Linked DNA regions of Lepisosteus oculatus. The protein of the gene in region 2 purifies or fractionates together with the protein of the main gene of each other region. This does not show direct contact. Links are inferred from orthologs where the notes say so. Each region holds a gene or a part of one and is shown on either strand. Other genes may lie near its edges.

Region 1 (7,343 bases), about 1.7 Mb from region 2:
CGCCTTGGCCACCGTCTCCCTGTCCGTCTCCTCCATTGCCGCCGCCTGCAAGCAGAGGAGTCGCTATGAGCGGCGGGGCCAGCCGCGGACCGGGCTCTGGGGCTGGGGCGCGGGGAGCCGAGCAGCGACACAGGAAGAACAGACGTTCCCACGCGAGGTACCTTCAATAATCGCCAGTGATACTGACAATCCCAACAACCACCTCCCTCCTCACACAGCTATAATGTGTGATGATAATGTTTCTTTATTAGCCCTATACAATTTCTTGCATTAGGAATTCGTCTTTTCGCATACCCCAGCTTTTCTCCATGGAGACACAGACACACAGACAGGGAGAGAAGCTGGGGGTCAGAGCGCTGGGTCTGCCATTGTACGGCGCCCCTGGAGCAGTTAGGGTGAAGGGCCTTGCTCAGGGTCCCAACGGAGTAGGATTCCTCTGCCAGCTGCAGGATTTGAACCAGCAACCTTCCAGCCACAGGCACAGATCCTGAGCCACAGAGCCACCCCTCCGCCCTCCTCTCAAAGCTGAGATAGGCCTGAGAGACAACAGATTTACAGACTTTACTAGCTCTCTAGCGACAGAGTCTATGGTCAGGAACTGTCCTAGCCCTTCTGAACTACTTGTTTGCTGATCCTCCCATTTTTGTATCAACGGCACCAATTTGACTACTTTACTCTATCAGAATCTAGATTCTTGTTCTAAATCAGAAAGGGCAGTGGTCCTAGTACAGACCCCTGTGGTACTCCACCAATTACTAGATCTTCTATCAAACAATTCTCAAATTAAACACACAAACATTTCCTCCAAATGTCCAAAACCTCTCATTTACCTTTTCTGTATCTATGCCGATTATCCCTTAGGAACTTAATTCCATATAGGCAATCCACTAGTTTATGTCAAATGATAGTTTCTTTAACCCTACATGCAACAGAAGTCAAACATATTTGTCTTACTCCAGTTTTCTCACTAATTCTACGGATGGACATGTTATTAGCAATTCTCCAGTCCCTGGTTCCTTCCCCTGTCTTCAGGGACGGCTGGGAGAGCTGCATCCATGGCTTCTGAAAAACATCTCTAGTTTCCACGAGTGCAATTAAAGAAGATTCTGTCAGGCCCTGGGGATTCAATCATCCTGAGAACTTAAACTCTCAGTTTTTGGAATATTTCTCAAACATTAGAGTTGTGTGGGCTCTGTGAAACAGCAAGTACAATGACGTGTCTGAATTCTAAAATAAACCTCTTCAGCCATTTAGGAATGTTAAATCACCTGATTAAAGACAAAAGAAAATCATTCGGTCATGCCGAGATAAAAAAAAAACAAACAAAAAAAGACAATTTTCCACTTTGTTACATCTGGTTTCTGATTTTCCTTCAAACCTTTCTAATTTGTACCACTTGGCACAATAAAAGGATTTCCATTTCGGACAAAATTCTAGGGTGCCTGAAAAAAGCAAAACCACAACGCACGCAACAGTTTGACATTTCCAGAAACAGAAGGTCAGAGAGTTCCAAAGCACTTCAGTGGTTGATTTGAGTGTCATGAAAGTTTTTCTCTCAGCTAGTGCCTGTTTCAATACATTTATTCCTGTCCACCTGACAGGTTAAGGGTATGGAGTCTGCAATACACTGATTTCTACACGTAATAAATGAGTGTATATTCAATTCTGTCTTCTTAGCAAGCAATGTGCACTTGGCAGCACACTGTTACACAAAATGAGAAATCATATTCTACACGTCTGCTTGGCAATGTATGTGCCTTCAATGTGATTGCCAGGGGTTTATGGTAACCTGTACTTGTCCACCTACTAATAAACACTACCGTGTCACAATAAACACTACCGTACGCACACAAACTGACACTTTGCAAACACACACCAACATTATCATTGCAAACATTACTTTGTGCACACAATCGCAAAGTACTTGACACGCACAACAATGCGTATAAATTGCGTGCACAAGAGATTCTTTGCCCTTAATATGGAAAGCATCTTGCACCCGTAACAATGTGAATTAACAGCGTTTTCAGCACTAATCCACCACGACATTAATCAACAAATCTGATATATTTCGATCCGGTAGATAAGCAATTACCTCTACCATGCCGAAGCAATTAATAAGAGTTGGCTGTAAATGTAAACAGTACATCTGAGGAGTTTAGCAAAGAAGCCCTCTCTTTGCAAAACGTCAAAGCACGGTGCTCAAGTACCGTATGCAAATCGGTTTCATCATTATTTCTTATTTAAGCTTGTATTATTACTGCTAGCATCTGCGCGTTTCGTCTGTTTATGCGAAGAACTGCGTGTTGTTGAGCGCTACGTGCTGCGATTGTCCCGCAAGACGCACAACCACAAAAGCCTTTCCCAAAACCAGGATCTGACAGCAAGTTTCCAGGCACGGCAAATGGAAAAATATCTACAGGCCCAGGTGACAGCCGGAACAATTTCGTTTCCTCCCGACGGTAAAAACAGGGACTCACCGCGCACCTACCTGTGAGTGATTTCCGAGGGAGTTGAAAACACACCGTTAAACAGACTGCATTAATAAATGCATCCCATATTCTAGATCACAAAATAAAAACTACCCTTCTCGGTCGCGGTTCGCTGTACGCCGCCCAACTCGCCACAACTGACTGCCACAACTTCCTATTCGGGTTGCCTTGCATTCTGGGAGTTGGAGTTTTCTCAAGTTCCTACAACAAAGACTGCAAAAATTCAAGATACAGTGCACGGACAGTATAGTCTATATAATATTCGAGCCAAGGCCAACCAAGTGACACATGTACTTGCCCTCTGCGATTTTTTTTATGGCTAACACGACATAGTTTTAAAACTTCAGTACGCTGAGAAACGAGCTCCAGCATAATATGTTCTACTACTGTACAAATGTAGTTTGATTTGCTACCATGGCTATCTGACAGCTAGCCTCTCACTTATGTCATTCGAAAATTCCCTAAAACCTGCTACCAAAAAGAAAATAAAACCTTAGAGCTGAGTACTTGGTGCCCATAAAAGAATGAAACTCTGTATTTGGGACAAATCAGTAACAGTCCACCTTTTAAAACAAAATCAACAATATTAGATTCTAAACCGCCAACAACATTGAACGGAATGCTGGGATGGGCTTACTGTTTCAATGACAAGGGTGACAGTACAATGCCCTTGCCAGACCTTCACCATCTGTGCAGGACAGTGGTGTTATCTCTCGTCTTCTGTAGGTAACAGTCTGTACCGAAACACCCGCCGTGCAGAAGCACACATCTGGTAAGGGACCCACAGTCCGATGAGACTGTTTCTCCTAAGCAGTTCAGCAGTTCAGCTCACAGACCTCAAGAACCACGTCTCTGTGCAAAGTGCATTCATCTTCAGCCCGAACTAGCTGCTTCTGTTTTTTATGAGCTTGTTCATGCTCCTACCGCCACTGAGGAATTCCTCTACCTTTTAATTTTAACATACTTTTAAAATGCAAAGGGCACTATCATTATTGCCATTATTCATGTGCACTCTTAAATGCAGTTTCATGTTTAAGTTAACGTTCATTACTAAAATGCTTAGAAATCCAGTATACTGTTTGTCTGAGTGGGGGGGGGCTGAGTTACTCCGTACTGGAGGAAGAAAAGGTTAACTACACCCTACAAAACACCGATACACCTGGAGAAGGTTCAATGGCTGAATCGTGGTGTTTCTTCCTTCATCATGGAGGTTTCTTGCTCTTTTGAAATCCATGGGCTGTTGTCCTTGGTGGTGTTTTCACTTGAAAGTGAGCAATGTCAGGGGTGAGGCTGGCAGGAGCTGTTTGCAGGATGTGAAATGTGGCCTTTGGCACAGCCCTTGCCCTGTCCTGAGCTGTCCTGCGTTAACTCCAGCTAACTCCAGCTGTTCGTTTACCATGCAGTAATCAGCACCACTCCACCGACTGCAGCGAATCCGGGAGGTGTCTTCCGTTCGGAAAGCTTCCCAGAAGGCGACGAGAGCACAGTTTTCAATTCCCGGAGTCGTGTGAAGGGACCTCCCCATCAGAGTTCACACCACATTTGTCACAAACCAGGCGCTGTTCCTACAGATGTGGGCTTCATCTCATTTGGGTTTCATTTCCAAACGAAAAGCCTCAGCAGGAAGTGGTGAAAAGATGGGAGAGAGTCTAATGCAGGAAACTACTGTACACTCCTTAAAGAGTCTCATGAGTGTCGGCAACTGCAACATTCACCTCCTTTTTAGATAAATATTGCTCCCTAGCATTGCTTGAAACATAAACCTTCAACAAGATTGTGAACATAATACACCTTAGGGTTCACAATCTTGTTGAAGGTTTATGGGGTTTAAAAGCTGTTACGCAGCTATTGTAGACTGTTTTATAAAATAATGTTTGCAAAATATTTACAGTAATGCAAACCCTTACACCTTAATTTTACAATGATTTACACATTATATGTATATGTTACACTGAAGATAAATATCAAACGTATAACTGTCTCTTAGAAATATTTGCATCAGGTTATGTAAATCAAAAGTAAAATATTTATATGGGTTATTCACAATATTTATAAATGACTTCACAAGAGAATTGGAGAGACAGTACAATATATCAATTGTTATTAGTCCATGATCCAGTGAGGACAATGATTAGGATTCATTATTTAATGTATTTGCTGTATTTTCCAATAAAACATGATAGTCTCTACTAAATAAAACATTCCAGGATCCAAAAGACAGTAAATCATTAAATTGTGGTACAGTGGGCTCTGAAATAAAATAGGCCATTGAAGGTATTGTCAGCTTGTCATGTATATGTTTATCTCTTTTCCTAAACCTGCCACTAATCATCTTAAAAGGGCTTATCCCAGTCACTGATCCATAGTACTGGGTACTGTTGTTTGTTTGTTTGTTTGTTTTTTTGACCTGGCATGCCAGTTGTAATCTGAGGGATTAAGTGTCATTCAACAAACCCAACTTGAACATAGAATGGCAAATGAAATTTCAAATCAGAGCCTGTCCATCTCTTCTCGTGAAGTCTGGCTAAGCATCACCAGCTTAAAAGAGAACCTGGTGAATTGTGGGTACAGTATTTTAGCTGCTGCGGCGAGGCTATCTAGAATACCCTCCAGAAACCTGAATAAATCAGGTTCACTTTTAAAAAGGTGCAGCAGGTCTGTAGCTGTTGCTTTAGAAATACAATAAATGCAAACAACTTAAATAATGTTTGTTAAAAATGATCTCTGCATAGAATATCTTCAGTGTGGAAATGTTCTGAGGCGTGAGATTCTCTGCCCTTGTCAGAGAGCTTCCTGACCATTTTAAATTATGTATTCTTTTAAGGAACTCATGTTCAAATCCAATTACGTACAGTACAGTACAGTACCATTTGCTTCTTGGCAAGCTTCTTTTGAGAACTAAAACTGAGTGATCTGATCGAAGCGAAGTCCTAACGCGTTGAGGATCTTTAGAATCAGTCGGATTCACATTTTCGTGCCAGACTTTGGGGTAATTCAACTTCATAATATTAAATAAAGATCAAGATTCTTTGTGCGGTGAGAGCAAGCAGTCTCTCTACGCATTTTATTCTTTGACATGTAACACATCACTCTCGGCTTGTGTCTGAAGGTGTTCCAGCTGAAATCTTCCCAGAAGTGGGACCGCCAGGCAGCCGGAGGGGCGAGGAGCATGTGGGATCAAAAGTAACCCCTTTTGAACGGAATGACACTTTGCCGGGGTAGGAGTAGTTTTATATGCAAACTACTGCTGTTCGCCATGCCGGAGTTTATCCTGGTCTCTGTAATGAGCAAACACGTACAGTAACTCCACCCTCTCCGCGCACCTTACCTCAGGATATTTACATGAGCTGGAAAGGACACCGAGTGAGAGGTACAGTACCTGGCACCAGACCCTTGCTCAATGAATGAAGAGATCTGCTTTTTAAATGGTATTTGTCACCCAAGACAAGTTAGGTGGCGTTTTCCGCTAAAACGCATTTGGTTTGTAATGACCCTATTTTAAACTGTTTATAGCACTTGGGAATAAGAAGCATTGATTGCTGTGTGATCTTCTGGTATGCTCTCTGAACAACACGAACCAGAGCGCCGACAGTATTAACTGCCTGTAACACAACGCGGTTCCTCTTTTGTAGGTCAGTTCGTGAGAGACCCAGTGAACACCTGACGAGTCGAGAACGGTGACAGACCGAACTTATTGCACTTCTGTGTTTTGCTTATGCATTTCGGTATAGGTACGATTAAAGGGATCTTACAATTATCACAGATAAAAGAAGAGAAAATGTATGTGTAAGTGTGGTTTTCCTTGGCATAAAAGACTGGAAACATTCTTTGAGGAAAAAAAAAGGCTTTCAGTGCATTCAGAAACCGTGCAGTCATTAAATCCTGTTTTTACAGTTGTGCATTAATCACTCCAGTTTTCTTAACAATTATGTCATCAAACGCGTTCACATTCCTAGATTTATTTTAACTGAAGCCCTGAACAATTAGAATATGAGGTCTGAGCATGGCAGCATGACTGACTAGTATTCTCCGAGGGCGTTCTTGTGTTGAAGCAGATTCCTCTCCACATCGTCGTGCTTCTGCTGCCTAGTCCAGACACTCAGAACCACACGCAACATGACATCGCACACACTTCGCCGTCCGCCAGGTCTAACAAAGGGCCAAACATCATCCGCGGGCAAACGCGACACTCCCACACTCCCACGGTCTCCATCCCCACGTTCTCGGCTTCACAGAGAACCGCGATTTAGTCTCCCAGCTGTCAACCTGTGAGCCCTGAATGCCCTCCAAGCATGCAGATAATCTTCATGCAGATTTGTGAGCTACAGTCATTCTTCTTCAAGGATGCTCTTGAGTTGTAGCTGTGCCACCTAAAAACTGATTACATAGGTGGGTCAGAACGACATGCAGTCTGGTGACTCTCTGCCTCCCAGTATGTGGCCTGTCCTGCGCAGTGCCAGTTACCTGTTTATTCCGCTGAAAGTTGTTGAAACAGACCATCTAAATTTTGGGGGCAGCGTCTGTCTTAGTCACTTTTAATCATGCCAGTAGAAACCAGACAGTTTTCTTTAACCAGGAGGAATCTACTCTAGATACCTCAACTACATGAATTAAAATCAAGTTCTTCAAGGAATACTAATAATAATACTGAAATGATCATCAAACCTCTCTGCCCAGTAAAGACAGATACATTATGTTAATTTCATTTAAAATGTAAATAACATAACGTATGTGCCCAATGAGTTGTTGATATGCTGTACAACTTAAAACTGTTGTGTTTCCATGGTGTATCAGAAGGTGCACAAACAGAGTACAAACCTTGGGGTACAAATAGTAGTGAATATCATGAGG
Region 2 (7,138 bases):
CCTGAGAGAAATAAACCCAAAGTGGTCACTCCAATAACAACAATAAAGAAGCTCCTTTTTCAATCCAGAGGAAGAAAAAACTCTAAAAGGAAAATGATTGCTTTCACTGTATGAAACTTCTCCAATGCAATGTACGACTGAACTTAAACTTAAATACTGTACATCTTCTGATTATTTAAAGATAAGAAATACTTACAGTAATGTGGCTTACATTTAAAAAACAAATGGAATATTCCAGTTATTTTCAATTGTTTGAACACAACTGTCCTATTTATTTCAATGAAGAATTCACAAAGATCACTACAAACAAAACAATAGTGAAACCCATTCTAATGCAAATAACTTCCCTTTTCTGTTTAATTATGTCATAAAACATTCAGGCAGTAAAATATGACAAATAGCATATGGGACATCCTTGACATTAACTCATAGGATTTCAAATCCCGATATTCTGCTTTGTGGAAGAAGGAATCAAAAAGATCAAATTGATTAGGGCCTGTCAGACATTGAAACTCAAACAGCTGTGCTTAGCAAAAATGTTGTGGAATATGAAGAAACACTAAATTTACACGGGGCAACTGTCAGTGGTCATTAGTTTAGTAAGCAGCTGGCACCTAATGGGCTAGATGAGCTGAATACCTCCTTTCATTTGTAATTGTTTTAAGACATATTATCACATGATAAGTAGCATAAAAAGGTGGAAAACGACAATCAATTTAGCTTGCAGAATATCCATTTCCATTTGTATGAGCCCTTACACTTCCTCGGTATTCTAAAGGTGGACACTATTCTAATGTCCTGCACTTCTAATACATTCTATTTAACTCCATAAGCTGCTCGACATCCAACGAGCTGTATGAGATTAAAATTGGCCATTAACAGTTCGGTCTTTATTCCTGGCACTCTAGGGTTAACTTTCTATTTTAAGTACACCACAGATGCTGTGTACAAGTAATGGGATAATGGTTTAATCTTCTGCTTATTCCTTCTTAATATTTGTCGATTTATATTACTTTATAACGTTTTGTACACTCCATAATACCTGTAACTTGAAAGAGTTTTTTTTCCAGAAACCCTTCCTTAATTCCCTGTGTCACCTCTCTTTCTGCAATTTACGGATGACCACACGACCTTCAGCGGCATCACCTCTGACTTTGACAGATATTCTGCTGAAAGTGGCCGGTTGGATTCAAGCTAAAGCCCAACTCTCCAGGAAGGAAAAAGGCACCCACTGTTCACATGCTTGCTTTGGATCTTTCAAAAGGGCGAACAGGATTCCGGCGCAATATTTACAATGACCACTTCCTAATGCTGGCCAGAGGCCCATGGGAAAAAAAAAGAAAAGACAATCGTGGAACAATAGAGACTGGAATCATAGGGAGCTAATTCACAATGGGGGAAATCCACTAAGGTAGATACGCCAAAATGTCAGCTGCACCACTTCATTTCCACTCAAAGACAAAAATATCTTCAGAAAGGCATCAGTGTCGGGTCAGATAACCGCAGGATTTAGTGTGACGAATCTTTGAAGTATTCAAGGAAGGTGAGTTTTAATTCTACTTGCACTGCTCCTCAACACTGAAGGTGTGGGGTCCATGTAAGCAGCAGGCCGGTCAGATATACAAGGCTGCAGCATCAGTAGGACAAGATTGAACAGGGCCTCACAGCACAGACCTCGGCATGCAAGCACATGCAGCCACTGAACAGAAGCTGGCTGATCTGGGAAGTGGTAATGGAACCCAATGGTGTGTGAAATGGCCAACCAGGCCCCACCTACCCCTTTGTGGTGATCGAGTGCTTTCCCTGCATGCTAATATCACCAACACATGGGCATCAGGAAATACTGCTGTGAGCTTCCGAACTTTGATGGTGCGATCATTTAGTGTGCCGATTGATCTGCATGCGTGATAACTTACACTAACTCCCTTGAAAAACATTGCGATCTCTAAGCAATAGACTGAATTCTCTGGAGAAATTAGACTAAGTTATATGTTTATGTTAACAAATAGCCCCTGTAGTATTTCGTAATTAACTACAATCATGTGCTAAGCAACAATAAATGTGATGGGGCGATCGCCAAGCTAGCTATCTGGTTTTGAGCCATCAATTATAAGATTAACCTCACATAATTGGAAAACACAGGTTCTCTGGAGATTTTTTTTTCTCCTTATCAAATAAATGTCTCTCCCTCGATTTGCACAATTAAGTGAAAGAAATATCTTTGGCAAGGCTCTTGGGTGGTCTCTGGCTAGGTTTTTAATGATGCTGTGCCATTCCCAGAACAAGTGAAAATGCTGTAACGATCCAAATGCGAGCAAGTTGGAACATTAAAAAAAACATGCATTGTTAACAAGACTGCACTATCTATTGTACGAAAGCTATAGTGCTAGTGCTTAGTCTCTGGCGGACCAGTGTATGATCAGTTTCTAATTTATTTAGAAGATTATCATAGATCTGATTGGATGTGCACTCTAATATGGACAAAACATCACCATGCAAAAGATTGTCTTCAACAAGTCTGTTGGTTACAGAATAAATGCATATTTACACTACAAAACTTTTGCTCAGTGGCACTCCTGTGTTTGAAATGGCACAATTACAAGTACTTCACAACAGTGGACCACAATATTTTTAGTAAAACAAATAAAATGGAAAACAGAAATAATTTATACAGTAGCACCTTTTATAAAACATTTTTTAAATGTTCGGGGGGATATCAAAGTTCTGACTTTCATAAGAACATTTGCTAAAATCAACTATAAGTACACTGTATCTGAAACTGCGTTTAAGTTTTTGTAAAAAACAAAAGTGGACTTTAACCTTTATGTAAGGTTTTACAAAATGAATCCCCGGTGGAAGCCGAGCTGATAAAAATAAATTAAAAAAAACAAGCGAAATCCCTCTGATGTCATCCGTTAGTTCTCAGCGTCAGTGAAAACACCTCCTGCTAAAACAGGGAACAGATCTTCCATCCTCTCGGGTTTTGGCCTCCTGGAGAGACTTTTGGTGACGCAGATTAAAATGGACAAACGGGTACAAACACCACACCTGGAAATTAGAGGATGTTTTTATTCCATTCAAGCCAATCTTTACACAGGTGCAGGAGAAAGAGGGATGACACTTCTCACGATAACCTCTATAGCAGTAAATCTACACACGGCCAGTTGCACAGACTCGTTGCGGTACATGCAATGCAATCAGTACAGAATAACATTCACCTTAAAATTAATAAACCTTTTTAAAAGGAAAACGCATCAGATGGCCAACTTGATCATCGTATGACTGTGAGTCCCTTTGGTCCTAATCATCTCTCAGAGCTCACTCCACATCATCTCTGAGGTTAAGGAACTACCAGACCTTTGGTTTCTGTCCTTCAGAAAGGTGAGCAGTGGGTCAAGGGCTTGCTTTTCCACGCAGCAGTAATTAAGGTCATACTTAATCATCCAGGTTAATCACGTCAGAGAATATGCTAGTATCTGTGGTGTTAGGCAGATAGTAAGACGTGGAGCTGGTGTATTAGTTTTACCCATTACTACCAGTGCCCATGTACACATCTAGATAGTGCTCAAAGAGACAATCACGACACAACCCCCTGCTGATTAGTCTTCAGCGCCAGAGGAGCAATAACACAGCTCAGACCCTACAGCACATACATGTACAGTGCACACAGCTAGACTACAGCTAAAATCACAGAGAACAAAAATTAACAATTTTTACATTTGACTCTTAGTTGAATTATCCTGTTCTCCCAAGACAGTTGCGTGCCGGTGATATTATGAGATATCCACAGCGCAAAAGGAACAACGTACCGGACAGACACACTATGCAGCTCAACCATAGCCTTGAAGTTCAATTCGTTTCAGCTGTAACACAGAACATACCGGTTGTCGCACCCAACCAAAACTAACGAAGTTACAGATCGAGCGGGTACTAAGCCTGTGCATTTAAATTTCGGGGAGGACAGTCTAAATAAGGGGAGAAAAACACACAAGCCCATTTTATAATCTGCAAAAGCTTCTGCAACCAAGCCTATCTCCAGACTGCCTCCCATCTTCCACAACCCTGCTGCCACCTCAGACCAAGCCCCTCCCCCCAGCGTCCGGATGTGATGTACATCAGCAAAACAGGAACTGGTGACCTGGAAGTTGATGTCACATAGAGGTCAACTTCGCTCTTCCTGCGGCTGAGCACTGTAAGTTTATTATTAAGGTGTTATTATTTGTTTTTGTTTATCTCGAGTCTCAATTTCAGTCGTCTAAATAAGTGTGTCCATAACGGTCCTTCACTTTACAGGTGTGGTATATCTGCCTGCTAGTTTTCGGTCAGAAAGGGATCGGGAAGCGTTTCAGCGCTTAGTGTTTGTACATTATTTAGTCCGTCACTCTTCATCTTTCTCATTTTAACGTGTATTGAACGTGAATTCTGAATTATCCAGTTCGCAGTGACATATGAAATTATGCGATTTGCAAGCTCACGCCATAGTTTGCAGTAATCCCGAGAGAAGAGAAAGATATCCGCCCAGATTAAATGTAGCATTTGCGGTGTGTCATGCTAGCGATCACCACAAAAGAAATCCTGTTTAAACTGTGATACATGCATTTGCGTTTTTATCGCTGCGTAAAGATAGTTGTTGTTGGAGTGGGCTTCCCTGGCGCATTTGACTGTATTAGTCACCCGTTTTGACAGCTGTTGGATGATGACACCGGTCGATTCGGACCCACACCAGTTTTGAAACTGAACACGCAATAGAATATATAGTATCTAAACGTGTACTATATCTACTTGTTTACTTTGTTACTTTGTTTTTTCTGTTTAAGTGTAGCAAAGCATGATGTATCGGGGGTTAAAATCACAATTGTACGGTATGTTTCAATGAAAACGGAGCTTGTGAACAGTAGTGTGCCAAGTTTATATCCAGAATGTTATTGCGTATGGTTAGGCTCTTTATATGTGTGTAAGCATGCATGTGTGCACAGATGTTTGCAGAATTATTAAGGTGTGGAGTTTGAGGAGTATTTAAAGAGCAAACTCACATTCCTGTGTTTAATTTAGTAAAGTACTCCTAACTCTCCAATTGGCATAGGTGGGCCAAATGACCTCCTCTCTTTTGCAAGCTTTCTTGTGTTTTAATTTTGATAAAAACGCAGCAGTGAAGCAATATAATTAAACCAGTCCTGCGTACAGCTCAAAACTTTTACTGATATCATACTTGACTCGATGTGATACTATAAAGTGGGCTCTATAAGCAAGGAAAACTATGCAATAAAAAGTGTACAGTAAATGCGTTTTAAAAAATGCATTCCAGCTGCTGAAATGTGGCATGCCTGTAGAATCACAAAGGTTAGGTCTATATATTTGTATAATTTGACAGTACCTCTAATAATTCCTCTTAAAATAAATAGCTCATAAGCAGTGGTGAAATAACACAAAGCAGACATACTGTTCAGAAAGGGTGGCAGAAAAGCTTGGCATTCTTTCTGTATATTTACTGCACGATCAGTCACTGAGAAGCAGTAACCTCCACTGGGCCAGATAAGCCTGATCCAACGCTCGATCATGCACGTGTGTTTAAAGGCCGGAGCATTTGTCAGTGATTGCTAGAACACTCGAACAGGTATGGGTGCCTACCTTTTCTCAAGGAAGTTATTGCAGTTTAGAGCACGCAGTGTGCTGAAATGCGCACTGACAGGCCTCTGGCAGTATGACCCTGTCCAGTGAAAGTCAGACGTGGACACTGTCCTTGAGCGGATCGCCTCAGTCTGCCTGCCTTAGTCAGCCAAGCTACGCTAGCAGTTGCCTGCATTGCCTTTAGGAGGTGTTAATTTGCAGTGGCTATCCTTCCACCTGCCCAGGGGGAGTCTTGCACTTTCACTTAGCTGTCTTAAAAAATCGAAACTGGGATTAGCAGAGGTGATAGAGTAGTAAAGTGTTTTGTCTCATGATGGAAATTAATGTTCAGCCTTAGCACAGCATTCATAGGTACATCTGGAGACATTCATACCCACTTCTAGACACAGCGGCAGTCAGGCATGCCGGCTTGTTTTGTCACTACAGAAGGAATCATTAGTGTGTCAGTGCACTGTACCAAACTGTACTGCTGTCTTAAATGATGTCATGCTCATACTGTAGGTCCCTTGGACTGACCATCACATTTAAGTGTAACAATCCATATTGCCCTGCTAAATCAGGTGTATTATTTATGCTGAATCCAAAATGCATTTGCATCTGCAGAAAGTGCTAGATTCCTGTGATCAGTCATCAGTTTAAGTGCATTGCTTAGGATGGTCATGTGGCTGAAAGGAAAATCAAGTTTCATCTCCAAAGAATGAAAAGAAAAAAAAAACAGGAGAGATGCCAGAAGCTCATCCACAACAAAAACAACCATGCATTAACAGAAGCCAGAAATATACAAGTTTTCCCAGTGCAGTTCAAAAGCATTTCCAGTCTATTTGGCCTATTCTTATTACATTGTATGGCTGTTTTTTGTGCTTTGATCATACAGCAAGAAAAGGGATTGTGATCCTGCACCCTCTGCATTTTTGTTTTTCTCAATGTTTTGTGCAGGAGCGCCAATGCTTTAATAGACTGAGAAAAATAGAGAGAAGGAGATTTAAAGATATGTATCCAAGTGGACCCATATGTGCATGGGAACAGTAAGGTACTGGCAATGCTGCAGTCTTTTCCACATGTGAAAGGGTTCAGCTGCATGTTGGCAAAGCAGTGCGGTGACTTTGGTGGTCCAGCCATCCTCCATAAACAAATCACATGGCAAGGCATCCTAATATTTATGATTGTAGTAAGGCTCTCTTTAGGCAATTTATCAGTATAGGATTATAGAGTGCTCTCATTTTCCGTTTAGACTTCACACTAGCCAGGTTTGTTGTTAATATTGTAATACTTTTCTGCAAGATCAGGGTGTCTGAATTTGTGCTTTTGATTGATGATGTTGGCATGTTTCTTATTCAGATGGGAGACGCAATTATTTAATCATGGCTGGCTTAATTAATCAGTCGTGTTTGGTTTACAGCATATGGTTTTGTAGCCTCCAGACCTCAGAAGCTCTACTTTACTGTACAACTGTTAATTTCCCCCATTCCTCCTGTAAATGCCCATATCATTCATCACAGAAGGGCAGAGC

What was found.
Region 1: the proteins of exoc2 (region 2) and exoc3 purify together in Homo sapiens (affinity purification with mass spectrometry; 6 studies listed by BioGRID and IntAct, counting the BioPlex papers as one, with this or other methods). This does not show direct contact. The link is inferred for Lepisosteus oculatus from reciprocal best matches to the Homo sapiens genes EXOC2 and EXOC3.

The regions. Positions count from the first base shown.
Region 1 is NC_090701.1:3,227,441-3,234,783, reverse strand, and holds the start of exoc3 (exocyst complex component 3), read right to left. Parts: upstream 3,027-7,343; 5' UTR 2,481-3,026; intron 2,455-2,480; exon of another isoform or gene 831-2,454; intron 46-830; 5' UTR 37-45; coding exon 1-36. UniProt on the Homo sapiens protein: Component of the exocyst complex involved in the docking of exocytic vesicles with fusion sites on the plasma membrane.
Region 2 is NC_090701.1:4,957,428-4,964,565, reverse strand, and holds the start of exoc2 (exocyst complex component 2), read left to right. Parts: upstream 1-4,118; 5' UTR 4,119-4,192; intron 4,193-4,212; exon of another isoform or gene 4,213-4,293; intron 4,294-7,138. UniProt on the Homo sapiens protein: Component of the exocyst complex involved in the docking of exocytic vesicles with fusion sites on the plasma membrane.